3 linked regions of the Macaca mulatta genome follow. The protein of the gene in region 2 binds, or shares a complex with, the protein of the main gene of each other region. Links are inferred from orthologs where the notes say so. Each region holds a gene or a part of one and is shown on either strand. Other genes may lie near its edges.

Region 1 (3,748 bases), on a different chromosome or scaffold from region 2:
GAAGCCGAGGCGGGCGGATCACGAGGTCAGGAGATGGAGACCATTCTGGCTAATACGGTGAAACCCCATCTCTACTAAAAATACAAAAATTAGCCAGGCGTGGTGGTGGGCGCCCGTAGTCCCAGCTACTTGGGAGGCTGAGGCAGGAGAATGGCGTGTGCCCGGGAGGCGGAGCTTGCAGTGAGCCGAGATGGCGCCACTGCATTCCAGCCTGGGGGTCAGAGCGAGACTCCGTCTCAAAAAAAAAAAAAAAAAAAAAAGGTTGTCCAAGATCACAGGGGTGGTGAGTGACCAAGCCTGTATTTGAGTTATCCTCACAGAGACAGACATTTGCAGGTACCGCTGTTCTATATTAGTTACCTGTTTCCCTTGCTAGGCTGCATCCCTAGCTCTCAGACTAGGGATAGTATACAAACGTTTGGAAAATTAATGCCTTGAAGATTCAAAACAGTCTATTCACTTCCAAGAGTAATTTCACTTGCTTTCTCACAATCCCTAGGTAAGATAATAGTTAACATTTAATCAGCACTCCCATGTGACACTTTTCAGTGGCTATGCTAAGCACCTAAATCTCACCAACACTATTTTGCAAGGACTAATATCCCCATTTAATGGAAGAGGAAACTGAGGCTCAATGACTTGCCCAAGCTTCTGCCAACTAGTAAGTGGCAGAGCCAGGATTCTAGCTCAGGCTGTATGACCACAGAGTCCACATTTTTCTTTTGTTTTTTATGAGACTAAGTCTTGCTCTGTCACCCAGGCTCGAGTGCTGTGATGCGATCTGGCTTACTGCAACCTCTGCCTCTCGGGTTCAAGCAATTCTCCTGCCTCAGCCTCCCGAGTAGCTGGGATTACAGGCACACACCACCACGCCCAGCTAATTTTTGTACTTTTAGTAGTGACGGGGGTTTCACCATGTTGGCAAAGTTGGTCTCGAACTCCTGAACTCAAGTGATCGGCCCGCCTTGGTCTCCCAAAGTGCTGGGCCTACAGGCATGAGCCACCGCGCCCGGCCAGAGTCCACATTTTTGACGACGAGGCCACACTGTCAGTTCCACTGATGGGGAAACTGAGGCCCGGGGCAGGGCACTACATTGTGCCGGCGGAATCGTGGCCAGTGGGGGAAGCACGGGCTACGCGCCGATTCTTCCTCCTTGGTCAGGGAAGTCACTGAGGTGCAGGAGGCGGAGGGCGACAAGTGGAAGCCCCTTCCCATTATTAAGGATGGAGAGCGGCGCAGTAATTGGGATCTAACCCACGAGGCGGAAACACTAGGGAAACGGCGCAAACGGAAAACCGGAAGTGCGTCACCCAACGGACGGGCGAATCGTCTGCAGGCCACCAACGGGAACGCCGCGTTCGCGTTCGCCCCGCCCCAAAGGAAGAAGAGTCCGCCTTGCGACCGTATCCGCTAGCTCAGCGCGGGTTGCGCTTGGGCACCCTGGTGGGTAACGCGGCGCGCTAGGGGGTAGAGGGGAAAGAAGAGGGACTTCGAGGAAGGCGAGGGGAGGACGGAAGGTGGGGTGGGCGAGACAGGCAGTGGGGTCTGGCCCCGTGGTCTATCCTCGTGGGCTGTGGAACTCGGGGACGGGGGTCTTGGGGCTCCCCCTTCTTGATGGGGAAACTGAGGCCCAGAGAGGGGCCGCAGAAGGCAGCGGACTGGGATCTCCTCCCACAACACACACAAAGACATCTAAAAATCGTACTATTTAGTGAAAAATATTTTTAATCGTAATTACGATTTAACAGGTAAGGATACTTTTCATTGTAATAGGTGAAAAAGCAAAATATAAAATTCGATTCAAACTGTGATTACATCTATGGAAAACACAGCCTTCGCCGACCACCCTGTCTGTCCCGCCGCCCTCCGTGCTCCCCTCTGTTTTTGTGTACGGAGTTTCTCACTTTGTACAAGTCCGCAGCCGCTTGTGTTACAGCCCCGAGGCCAGATGCGTTTAAAATCGAGGATTTCTCGGACTTTGGAAAGGTAAAGTGCGTATGTTCTATGTTAGGTTTCACCCTCAGTGGGGGCTGGAGCAGCGGCTTGCAATCAAATACACGACCCTTTCCACAGCTAAAGATATGAAGATATGCATATATTATATTGACCGGGTCGCGGTGGCTCAGGCCTGTAATCCCAGCACTTTGGGAGGCTGAGGCGGGCGAATCACCTGAGGTCCGGAGTTCCAGACCAGCCTGGCTAACATGGTGAAACCCCGCCTGTACTAAAAATACAAAAAATTAGCCGGGCGTGGTGGCGCGTGCCTGTACTACCAGCTACTCGGGAGGCTGAGGCGGGAGGCTGAGGCAGGAGAATCACTTGAACGAGGGAGGCGAAGGTTGTAGTGAGTCAGGATCGCGCCACTTCACTCCAGTTGGGGCAACAAGAGCGAAACTCCGTCTGAAAAAAAAAAAAAGATATGCATATATTTACACTGTTGGGATAAATAACCATGGATAGCCTCACCTTAAGTCAGGTCAAGTTCTCCAACGTAAGAAACAAGTTTTGGTATTCAGACTTTTTTTTTCCCCTGCATCTGATCATCCACTAGTATTCATACCTTTTTAGATTTGAGGGTTGCAGATGAGGGACCTGGATTGTAGCTGTTCTGTTCACTCACTTTTCTCACTCTCACTGGATAAGAGAGTGTCTTTGAGAACAGGAACCGTGCTGTTGTATGGTCACGTCTCTCTCTGCCACCAACTCTTGTGTGTCACCTTGTGCCCTTTTAGTCTCAGTTTCCTCATCTGTAAGATGGGGTCAGTGATCCTTTGCTCATAAGGTGCTGGTTGGGGTTAAATGATGTCGTGCATGTGAAGCACAAGAATTGTGTTAGCACCTGCACGAATGGTATGACTGAGATTTACTTATTCCACAAACATTTATATTTCAAAATTATTAAATTTAAATAAATGTATTATTAAATGAATTAAATGCATTAATTAATTAAAAGTATAGATGTATTTCTTAAAATGTGGGTGATAGGAATGTTAAAGATTTATATAATGCTTCAAAGCCTTAGAAAAGGTTTTCTTTAGTTGGTTTATCTGTATATCTGAACTCTTGAAACTTAAAGCTAAAATACTAGGATTTATCTGCAGGGTTGCAGAGAGATAATTCTGCCTTAAATTGTCTAAAACAAAAACAAAACAAGACAATATGTTATACATGGGATTAAAACCAATTTTTCTCCCATTTTTTCTCCTTTTTTCTTTTGCTGCCCACATTGTGCCTTTATTTTATGAGCCCCATTTTTCTGGGCTTAGTTAAAAAAAAAATTCAATTCTAAACGTTGAATTTAGGGAGTTTTTGTTCTTAAATAAAAAGGCATAGACTTAAAAAAAATAAATGTTTATCCAGGAAAATATGTTGAAATCATGCTGCTGAGCCTCTATTTTCTTTGATGTTTTGGTTCGGTATTCTTTTATCATAAATTCTTAGCATTTAAAAATTTACTGATGTACATTTAAAGCCAATAAACTTTTAATTAATACAAATATATATATATATATATATATATATTTTTTTTTTTTTTTTTTGTGATGGAGTCTCACCCTGTCACCCAGGCTGGAGTGCAGTGGCGCGATCTTGGCTCACTGCAACCTCCAGCTCCTGGGTTCAAGCGATTCTCCTGCCTCAGCCTCCTGAGCAGCTGGGATTACAGGCGTGCACCACCATGCCTGGCTAATTTTTGTATAAAATAGAATTATTTAAGTAGGTGATACATGTATGTCTATGGCTAATCCC
Region 2 (3,368 bases):
AACTCCCTATGAGGTTGATCTTATGTCCTGCTCTCACTGTTCTATGTGGGCTATACTCACCATACACTTTATACTTATTTCCCCATACAATAGAGTCAGACTAGTGGAATATACCTTTTGAACCAGTAATTGCTCTCCTAGGAATCATTTGGAAAACAAGATAAAGAAAAGTTGTATTTAAAAAGTGGCAGCTCCAGACCGAGAATAAAAAATAAAAACATTAAAGAATAACAAGCAAATTCCTCCACATCAGGGACTAAACCCATTTTACAGGTCAAGAAACATCTGCATACAAACTAAGGAACCTACGTAAATTCCTATACTAGTGACGGTGGGGCCAGGATCTGAACCCAGGCAGTCTGATTCCCAAGCAGGCATGGTTAATGGTTACGCTATTGTTTTATAAGCCTTTTTGGTATCCACAGTAGAAATATATTTTACCTCATGATCCTGTACACACACACACAAAAGTAAAACAACTTCTACAAAACAACATTGACCTCAATATGTTGCAAAAACTTTAAGACGCTGATTTCGTCATGAAATTGTCTCATGGCCCACGATTTAAAACACACACAATGCTTCAGTGCTTCAAAAATACAGTATTTATTGTAATAACTAGAGTAGCATGTAAAAAAAACTAAGTGGAACTGCATGTTTAGCAACACAGCTGAGTAATTATGAATATAAACAATTGCTATTTGGAGAAAATACACCACGTTCATTGCTTGGAACCATGAATAATACTTACATATGTAGGAAATATAGAAAAAATAAAATAGGTTAAGGTAATAAGGATATAGGCAATTACGTTTTTATTTTTAATTTTATAAAGACTTTTATTTTTCCTTACAAACTGGGATGCTTAAGAGACCCGATAATAGCTACTTTTTTATTTTCTTGGCACCAAAGCAACTTACTTATGTGTTCCTTCTGGCATATCTGTTTCAGATCATAGTCAAGTTTTCCAATTCGTTTTACTAAGCTAGGAAAATTTTTTATACCAAAAAAAGTAAAATCAAAGCAAAACAAATGCTCTTTTGTTTATAGATGAAAATCTGGAACCAAATAACACAACATTAAAAGAACAAAACTTTGCAAACACATCCTAAAGCTACACACATTGAAACGCTACAGAAATACGCTTCCTGGGTTCGTTCTCCCTTCCCCCGCTCCTCTGCACTGTGCCTTTGGGTCTCAGACCCTTGTCCCGGGGGTCCCTCTGAATCCACCTCAGATTTCAAGAGGATGGGGCTGAGCCACTGGGCTGAGGTCTGGCCCTGTTCTCCTCATCTGCCAACGCCTCACAGTACTGCGCTGGCCAGTCCTTGGGGTCTTGATTATGGACTTTGGCCACAAACTTAAGAACTTTCATCTTGCTGGTTTCCAGGTTGGTTCGCGGGCCCCACTGGAACTCGTAGTCCACGGGGTCGGTGTGGGGTATCCGCCGGTATTCCAGGTAACGTTGTCGCACAAAGTCCTCGGTAATGAGTTTCTTTGGATCTCCGAAAATGAAATGCTTCTTGGTGGGGTAGACCCCTAAGCGCCGCAGAAAGTCCCAGACTTCAGTCTCCTTGACGGTGTTGCCCTTCATAAAGATGAGCCCCAGGACGATCATCAGGAGGCCCGTAGTGGGCGTGCCTTGGTCACCCCTCACCTCGGCATCCTCCTCCACCGGCTCCAGGGTGTTGATGAGGATATAAGTGTTGCTCTTGGGTTCAAGTTCCACCAGCTTATAACCGAAGACGTACTGGAGGCGCTCGGCGGCCCGTTTGAGGAGGTCGGGGAAGATGTCCTTGTAGTCCCCGATGACGTGCTTCAGTATGTCGGCCCGCTTGATCGGAATCTTCTTCTGGTCCTTAATCAGTAAGAACTGCACCAGCTCGGACACTTTCAGCTCCTGCTGCTTCTGGGTCCTGGGGCCCACGGCGGGGGAGGCCTGGGACCGGCGGGCGCCCTGCGACCCCTGCGAGCCGCCCGGCCCCCGGGAAGTGCTCGGGGCCTCCTCTGCGAAGCCGTCTCTGCGGGCCCGGGCGTGTTCGCCCGCCCGCGAGGCCCCGGAGTTTCCGCCACGGCTCCAGTCGCTGTCCCTCTCGGCCTGGCCGCCAGAGCGACCCCGGTTCCTCGGTTTTTGCAACATGTCACCGGCGACGCGTACCGGTGCACACTCCGGCAAGCAAGCAGCCGCGGCTGGGATCGTGGGTCGGCGACCCGCTAAGGCCGCTGCCTGGGCGGGGCCCCAGAAGGGGCGCGCAGTGTCGGCTGAGACTGCGTGCCGCGTCATGAAGCCTGCGCCTTGCGTCACGGCGGCTGGGCGGTGCGCCTGCGCGGCTGCGGGGCTGGGGGTACCAAAAGCATCAGATATTTCTGTGCAGCCCTGCAGGTCTGGTCGGTGAATTTCAGTATATCGAAGTGTTGTTCTTACTAAACCATGCAAGCAGAGAACGAGAACCGAAACTCCTAAACAAGTGTGTCGCTAAATTCAGGACCAGACAGGCTCAGGCAAGTTTTACAGACGGTATTATGAGTTTCTAATTCTAAATCGGGAGCATTTGTAAATGAAAAGATCTCACAGGATGAATGTGTGAGAAAGAAAAAAAAAAGGTGAAGAGGAAGGTACGACCGTGGAAGTAAAAGCATTTATTTCTACACAACATGTAGAAGGATATAAAAAACCCAGAGGGCTCTTAGTTTTCGTCCCTCCGCTCAATTTTATACCCTCCAACCCACTGCCCCCAGTTACTTTCTCTAATGCCCCGTGGAGTTTGTTAAAAACAAAAGTCTGCTGCAGGCTTTCCGCGCAAGCAGGACTTCGGTTTCACTATTTCCGTATGTGTATTCTCTGCATTAAACTCCTTTAGCTAGACAACTATGAGAAAACCCCACAAAACTTGTCAATATTAAGTAAATGTTTTAGCTTGGTCAAATGAGTTTATCCTTTGGAAAACAACTGTCTTCGGCTCACAGCCACAATTTTAGCAGAAATGCGTAAGAGGAATGCTGCAAACGTGCACTCTCAAGAGATTACCACTTAATTTTGGGCATCACTGATCAAGAATTGCAATAATGTGGATCTCTTAAATTTCTTAATTCATAATATATTAGCTTTGAGAAAGAAAAGAGAACACAAGGGTATTTATCCCTCATCTATGATGTGTGCAGTCTATGTATATTTTAATTGTGCAACTCAAGTAGCCAAAATGAGTCATTTCATTAACTCAAACCATCAGCAATCTGCTGCCATTACTTCTATAGATCTTAGCAAATTTGTTTCTTCTCTATTTATTGACTTGCAAAGAAGAAACTGAATTTCCCTGTGTCTTTTTAAAGCTACCCAGAAAGTGGATAAACTCTTCAAAGAACCAAAT
Region 3 (3,748 bases), on a different chromosome or scaffold from region 2:
CACTCACATCCTATCCTCTTGCCTTACTAAAACACTTGACACTTTCTAAATATACCAAACTATTTCAGACAGTTCCTTCTGTCTTCAATGCTCTTCACTTCTTTTAAGACTTTCCTATCTTCTCAGGCGGGTGCAGTGGCTCACGCCTGTAATCCCAGCACTTTGGGAGGCCGAGGTGAGTTGCTTGAGCCCAGAAGTTCGAGACTTGCCTGGGCAACATGGTGACACCCCATCTCTACAAAAAATTTTTAAAACATTAGCCAGGTATGGTATGCGCCTATAGTCCCAGCTACCTGAAAGGCTGAGGTAGGAGGATCACTTGAGAAGGGGAGGTACAGGCTTCACTGAGCCCTGATCATGCCACTGAGCTCCAGCGTGGGCAACAGAGCAAGAACAAAGACTTTCATATCTTCTCTACAAAGCCCTTTCTCATACTCGTGGACAAAACTAACCACTTCATCCTTTGTGAAGGATCCTGATATATATGTTGTTATGGTATCTAACTCATTTGATTACATTTATCTTTCCTGATCTGGATTCAAATAGCAATGCAACTACTTAACAGCTGTGTAAAACTGGGCAAAACAACCTACTGAGCTTCTTTCAGCAATGGAAATTATCAAGATAGAGTTGTTATGAAGAAAGAATGAGTGCACTGTGTACCTGGCACACAACAGGTGCCTGAAAACAAAAAAGGTAGTATTGTTAAAATACAATTCTGTTATCCTTATGCCACTATGTGCAAGTTTAAAAAAGACTTCAGGCCGGACACGGTGGCTCACGCCTATAATCCCAGCACCATGGGGGCGTGCAGATCCCCTGAAGTCAAAAGTTCCAGATCAGCCTGGTCAGCATGGTGAAACCCCGTGTCTACTAAAAATACAACAACAACAACAAAAAAATTGCTGGGCGTGGTGGGGGGTGCCTGTAATCCCAGCTACTCGGTGAGGCAGGAGAATCGCTTGAAACTGGGAGGCGGAGGTTGCAGTGGGCCGAGATTGCGCCACTATCCTCCAGCCCGGACGACAGTATGAGATTCCGTCTCAAAAACAAAAATTAGCCGGGCGTGGTGGCGCGCACCTACAGTCCCAGCTACTCGGGAGGCTGACCCAGGAGCCTGAAACCGAGAGGCAGAAGTTGCAGCGGGCCGAGGTAGCGCCACAGCACTCCATCCACCGTGGGCGACAAGAGCGAAACTCCGTCTCAAAAAAAAAAAAAGACGACTTGGAACAGATTCACTGTGAGGTGCTAGGCAAATACATGATATATTTAAAACTTACTAAATTCTAAAGTGATAACTAGTTGTCTGAAGGAGAGAGGGAGGAACCAGGGAAGAAAGCTGGGTTTAGAGGGGTCAAGGGGTCAAGGGTCAAGATCCAACAATTGCCAGGAAGGTTTAATTTTTTTGTACTTGTAACCTCCCATCCCAAACAACCTTTACCGTCTTATCTACTCCTCTGTGGCAAATGCCTACCCTAAGAATCTGCCACAGCATCCCCACCACGCCGAATTAACTGTTGCCTCCTCGTAAATTCCCGGGGACAATACTTCTGTGAATTACAGACCAGGGCCGCTATGGATCGCGACTCCCAGCGGGCAGAGACCTACTCCCTCGTACAACTACTACCTGCTACAAGACGCTTTTGGAAAACCTTGGCGGACTAAATTTAAAAACCACATCACGTAAGGCACACATCTACATCATACACGTCAATCTCCACAGCCTTCGTAGAAAAATCCTCATGGGAACCCCGGCACGAATTCAAGGCCAGACCCACAAGCCAGGTACACACCCACACGCCCACGCCCGCGCGCAGCCGGCGCCCCGGGGCCTGCTGGACCGCACGCCTCCACACCCGCGGCGCGGCCTCCCGGCCACTCACAGGAAGTTCTCCATCGAGATACGGACGATAGAGCCCTCCACGAAAGGCCCGGACGACTGCACCAGCGGCAGCTGCGGGGCCGGATTCTTCCTCTTGCTCGGGACCTCCGACGAAGGGTCTCTCGGGAGAGCTCTCTTGGAAGCCTGGGGGCTTGGAGTTGACGTCTTCTTGCTTGGAGTCGCCATCCTGGCTTTCTCAGCGCCCCACAGCGACTTCCGTTCCCACCGTCCGGCAGCCCAGGCGCCCAAGCGCCCCAGCGCCCGGCTCCCGCGCGAACTGCCGCGAACTGCTCCCGCGCGCTCGCTCCCGCGATCTCGCGCCGCGCCTGCGCAGTTCAGATCCGGAGCGTCAGCGGGCCCACCCAGCGCCTCCTGCTCTCCGCCTCGCAGAACTAGGGCCCGACTAAGGGCGGAGCAGCAGACGGGACTGAGTGGGGACCTCGGGGGACGTGGCAACGGGAGTTTCTTCTCTGTATATTTCAGCATTCAGATCCTTTTTTTTTTTTTCCACTCAGGAAAAGATGTCAATTGCATTTAGTATTTTGAAAGCCACTTTATTGCTTCCCGAGCCTCAGTCATGTGTGGTGGGAGGCAGCTGTGGGGGGCACCAGGGGCGTCCAGGGCCGCCAAGGCCAGGGGTACGTTAGGCCCTGCTTGCTCCCACCCCTTCCAGGTGCCCGCCTGAGAGCTCCCGGGCACGCCCATCCTTGGCTCTTCGTCCTCTTGGTTTTCTTCCCCGTTGCTTCAAATCAGGTCCCTGTCTCAAAAACCCCGAAAAAGAAATACTCTCAAATAACTCTGCCCGACGCTCCGTGAAGGCATCGTGCTAGGCGTTCTCAAACTCGTGGAACGACTACACTGCACAGGTTATCCTCATTGCTTCTCTGCTCCTTGCCTCCTAATTCTCTGGTTAAACTTCCGCCCCCGAAGTTTCTAGAAATCCCTGAGCTAGAATGCGCAGCCTTCATTAACAGGGTGGTTCTGCTTCCGTCTGCTCACATTCATCTAGTAAGCCCTCGCATTAAAGAGGAGGCGGCGCACCGAGGCCTGCCTAGATCTTTCCTTCAACTAATAATGTCTAACCTACAAGAAACTGGAGCCGTGGCAGTTTAGAAGCCTGCCAAGGTTGCATCCCTGGGAACTTATTTTCTGTTGTGGGAGACAGGAAAAGAACAAGTGAATCAACTGAAATTAAAAAATTCCAACTTAAAGCTGTTGGAACTTGAAATTATTCAGAGCCTTGCGAAGAATGTGGCTACGGGGCCTGAGTCCTATGGCGTACAGCTGCAATGTCTGCCTTGTTTTTTCCTGTAAATAATCAGGAAGACCAAACAGAGACAGAGGTAAGACCCCCTCAGATCACTATCCCTCTTCATAGATTAATATAGTTATCCTCCTTGGAATGGAGATATCTATAACTAATCTAGTCGCTGTGTTTTATGCTTTGGTCTTGTATTGAAAATGTACTCCTGCTGAACCTTCTCTGCTTCTGCCTACGTAAATGAAACCTTAACTTCACTTTGGAACATTGACCTTATTTGTTTGGAGTTGGTGTTTCCAGGTGGCTGTCCTCAAGCTTTGCGTTAGAATAAACTCTACTTAATGTTATTTTATAAATTTCACTACTTAAGGTTGACACAACAAATGATTAGGATAATTTCAGACTGTGACAGGTGTTAGGAAGAAAACAAAATGAACCTGATGGGTGGGAGGTACGGAAGGTCTCTTAGAGGTGGTGATGTTTAAGATAAACCCTGAAGGACAAGAGGAAACTGTGGCATCTGAGAAAAGAGCACCCCAGGCAAAAGAATTTTGCTGGAACATTCCAGTAAGGACGAAAGCTCTGAGGTGGGAAGGCCCGTGTGG

Evidence for each region. The genes of interacting proteins can lie anywhere in the genome.
Region 1: the proteins of NSMCE3 (region 2) and NSMCE1 are in contact, whole or in part, in a crystal structure (PDB 7DG2), measured with the Xenopus laevis proteins. The link is inferred for Macaca mulatta from reciprocal best matches to the Homo sapiens genes NSMCE3 and NSMCE1. Residues at the interface, in XP_018121157.1 of Xenopus laevis: Gly57, Glu58, Val60, Gln61, Tyr62, Leu64, Ile65, Lys66, Gln68, Lys69, Val82, Thr100, Gln102, Gln103, Val104, Phe105, Gly106, Phe107, Asn123, Leu125, Gln126, Arg127, Val128, Gly130, Asp131, Gly132, Met133, Arg134, Asp136, Glu137; in NP_001083134.1 of Xenopus laevis: Ile5, Glu7, Gln10, Arg11, Leu13, Gln14, Ala15, Met17, Ser18, His19, Leu30, His33, Leu37, His38, Leu54, His57, Leu58, Pro60, Leu61, Phe62, Met63, Val84, Asn86, Ile88, Thr89, Met91, Ala92, Ser93, Asp94, Gln149.
Region 3: NSMCE3 (region 2) and SMC5 share a complex: the UniProt entries of both Homo sapiens proteins name them as parts of the SMC5-SMC6 complex. The link is inferred for Macaca mulatta from reciprocal best matches to the Homo sapiens genes NSMCE3 and SMC5.

What each region holds. Positions count from the first base shown.
Region 1 is NC_133425.1:26,814,819-26,818,566, reverse strand, and holds the start of NSMCE1 (non-structural maintenance of chromosomes element 1 homolog), read left to right. Parts: upstream 1-1,377; 5' UTR 1,378-1,987; exon of another isoform or gene 1,988-2,074; intron 2,075-3,748. UniProt on the Homo sapiens protein: RING-type zinc finger-containing E3 ubiquitin ligase that assembles with melanoma antigen protein (MAGE) to catalyze the direct transfer of ubiquitin from E2 ubiquitin-conjugating enzyme to a specific substrate.
Region 2 is NC_133412.1:9,161,465-9,164,832, reverse strand, and holds NSMCE3 (non-structural maintenance of chromosomes element 3 homolog), read right to left. Parts: upstream 2,235-3,368; 5' UTR 2,141-2,234; coding exon 1,241-2,140; 3' UTR 633-1,240; downstream 1-632. UniProt on the Homo sapiens protein: Component of the SMC5-SMC6 complex, a complex involved in repair of DNA double-strand breaks by homologous recombination. The complex may promote sister chromatid homologous recombination by recruiting the SMC1-SMC3 cohesin complex to double-strand breaks.
Region 3 is NC_133420.1:101,264,728-101,268,475, reverse strand, and holds the start of SMC5 (structural maintenance of chromosomes protein 5), read right to left. Parts: upstream 2,172-3,748; 5' UTR 2,069-2,171; coding exon 1,884-2,068; intron 1-1,883. UniProt on the Homo sapiens protein: Core component of the SMC5-SMC6 complex, a complex involved in repair of DNA double-strand breaks by homologous recombination.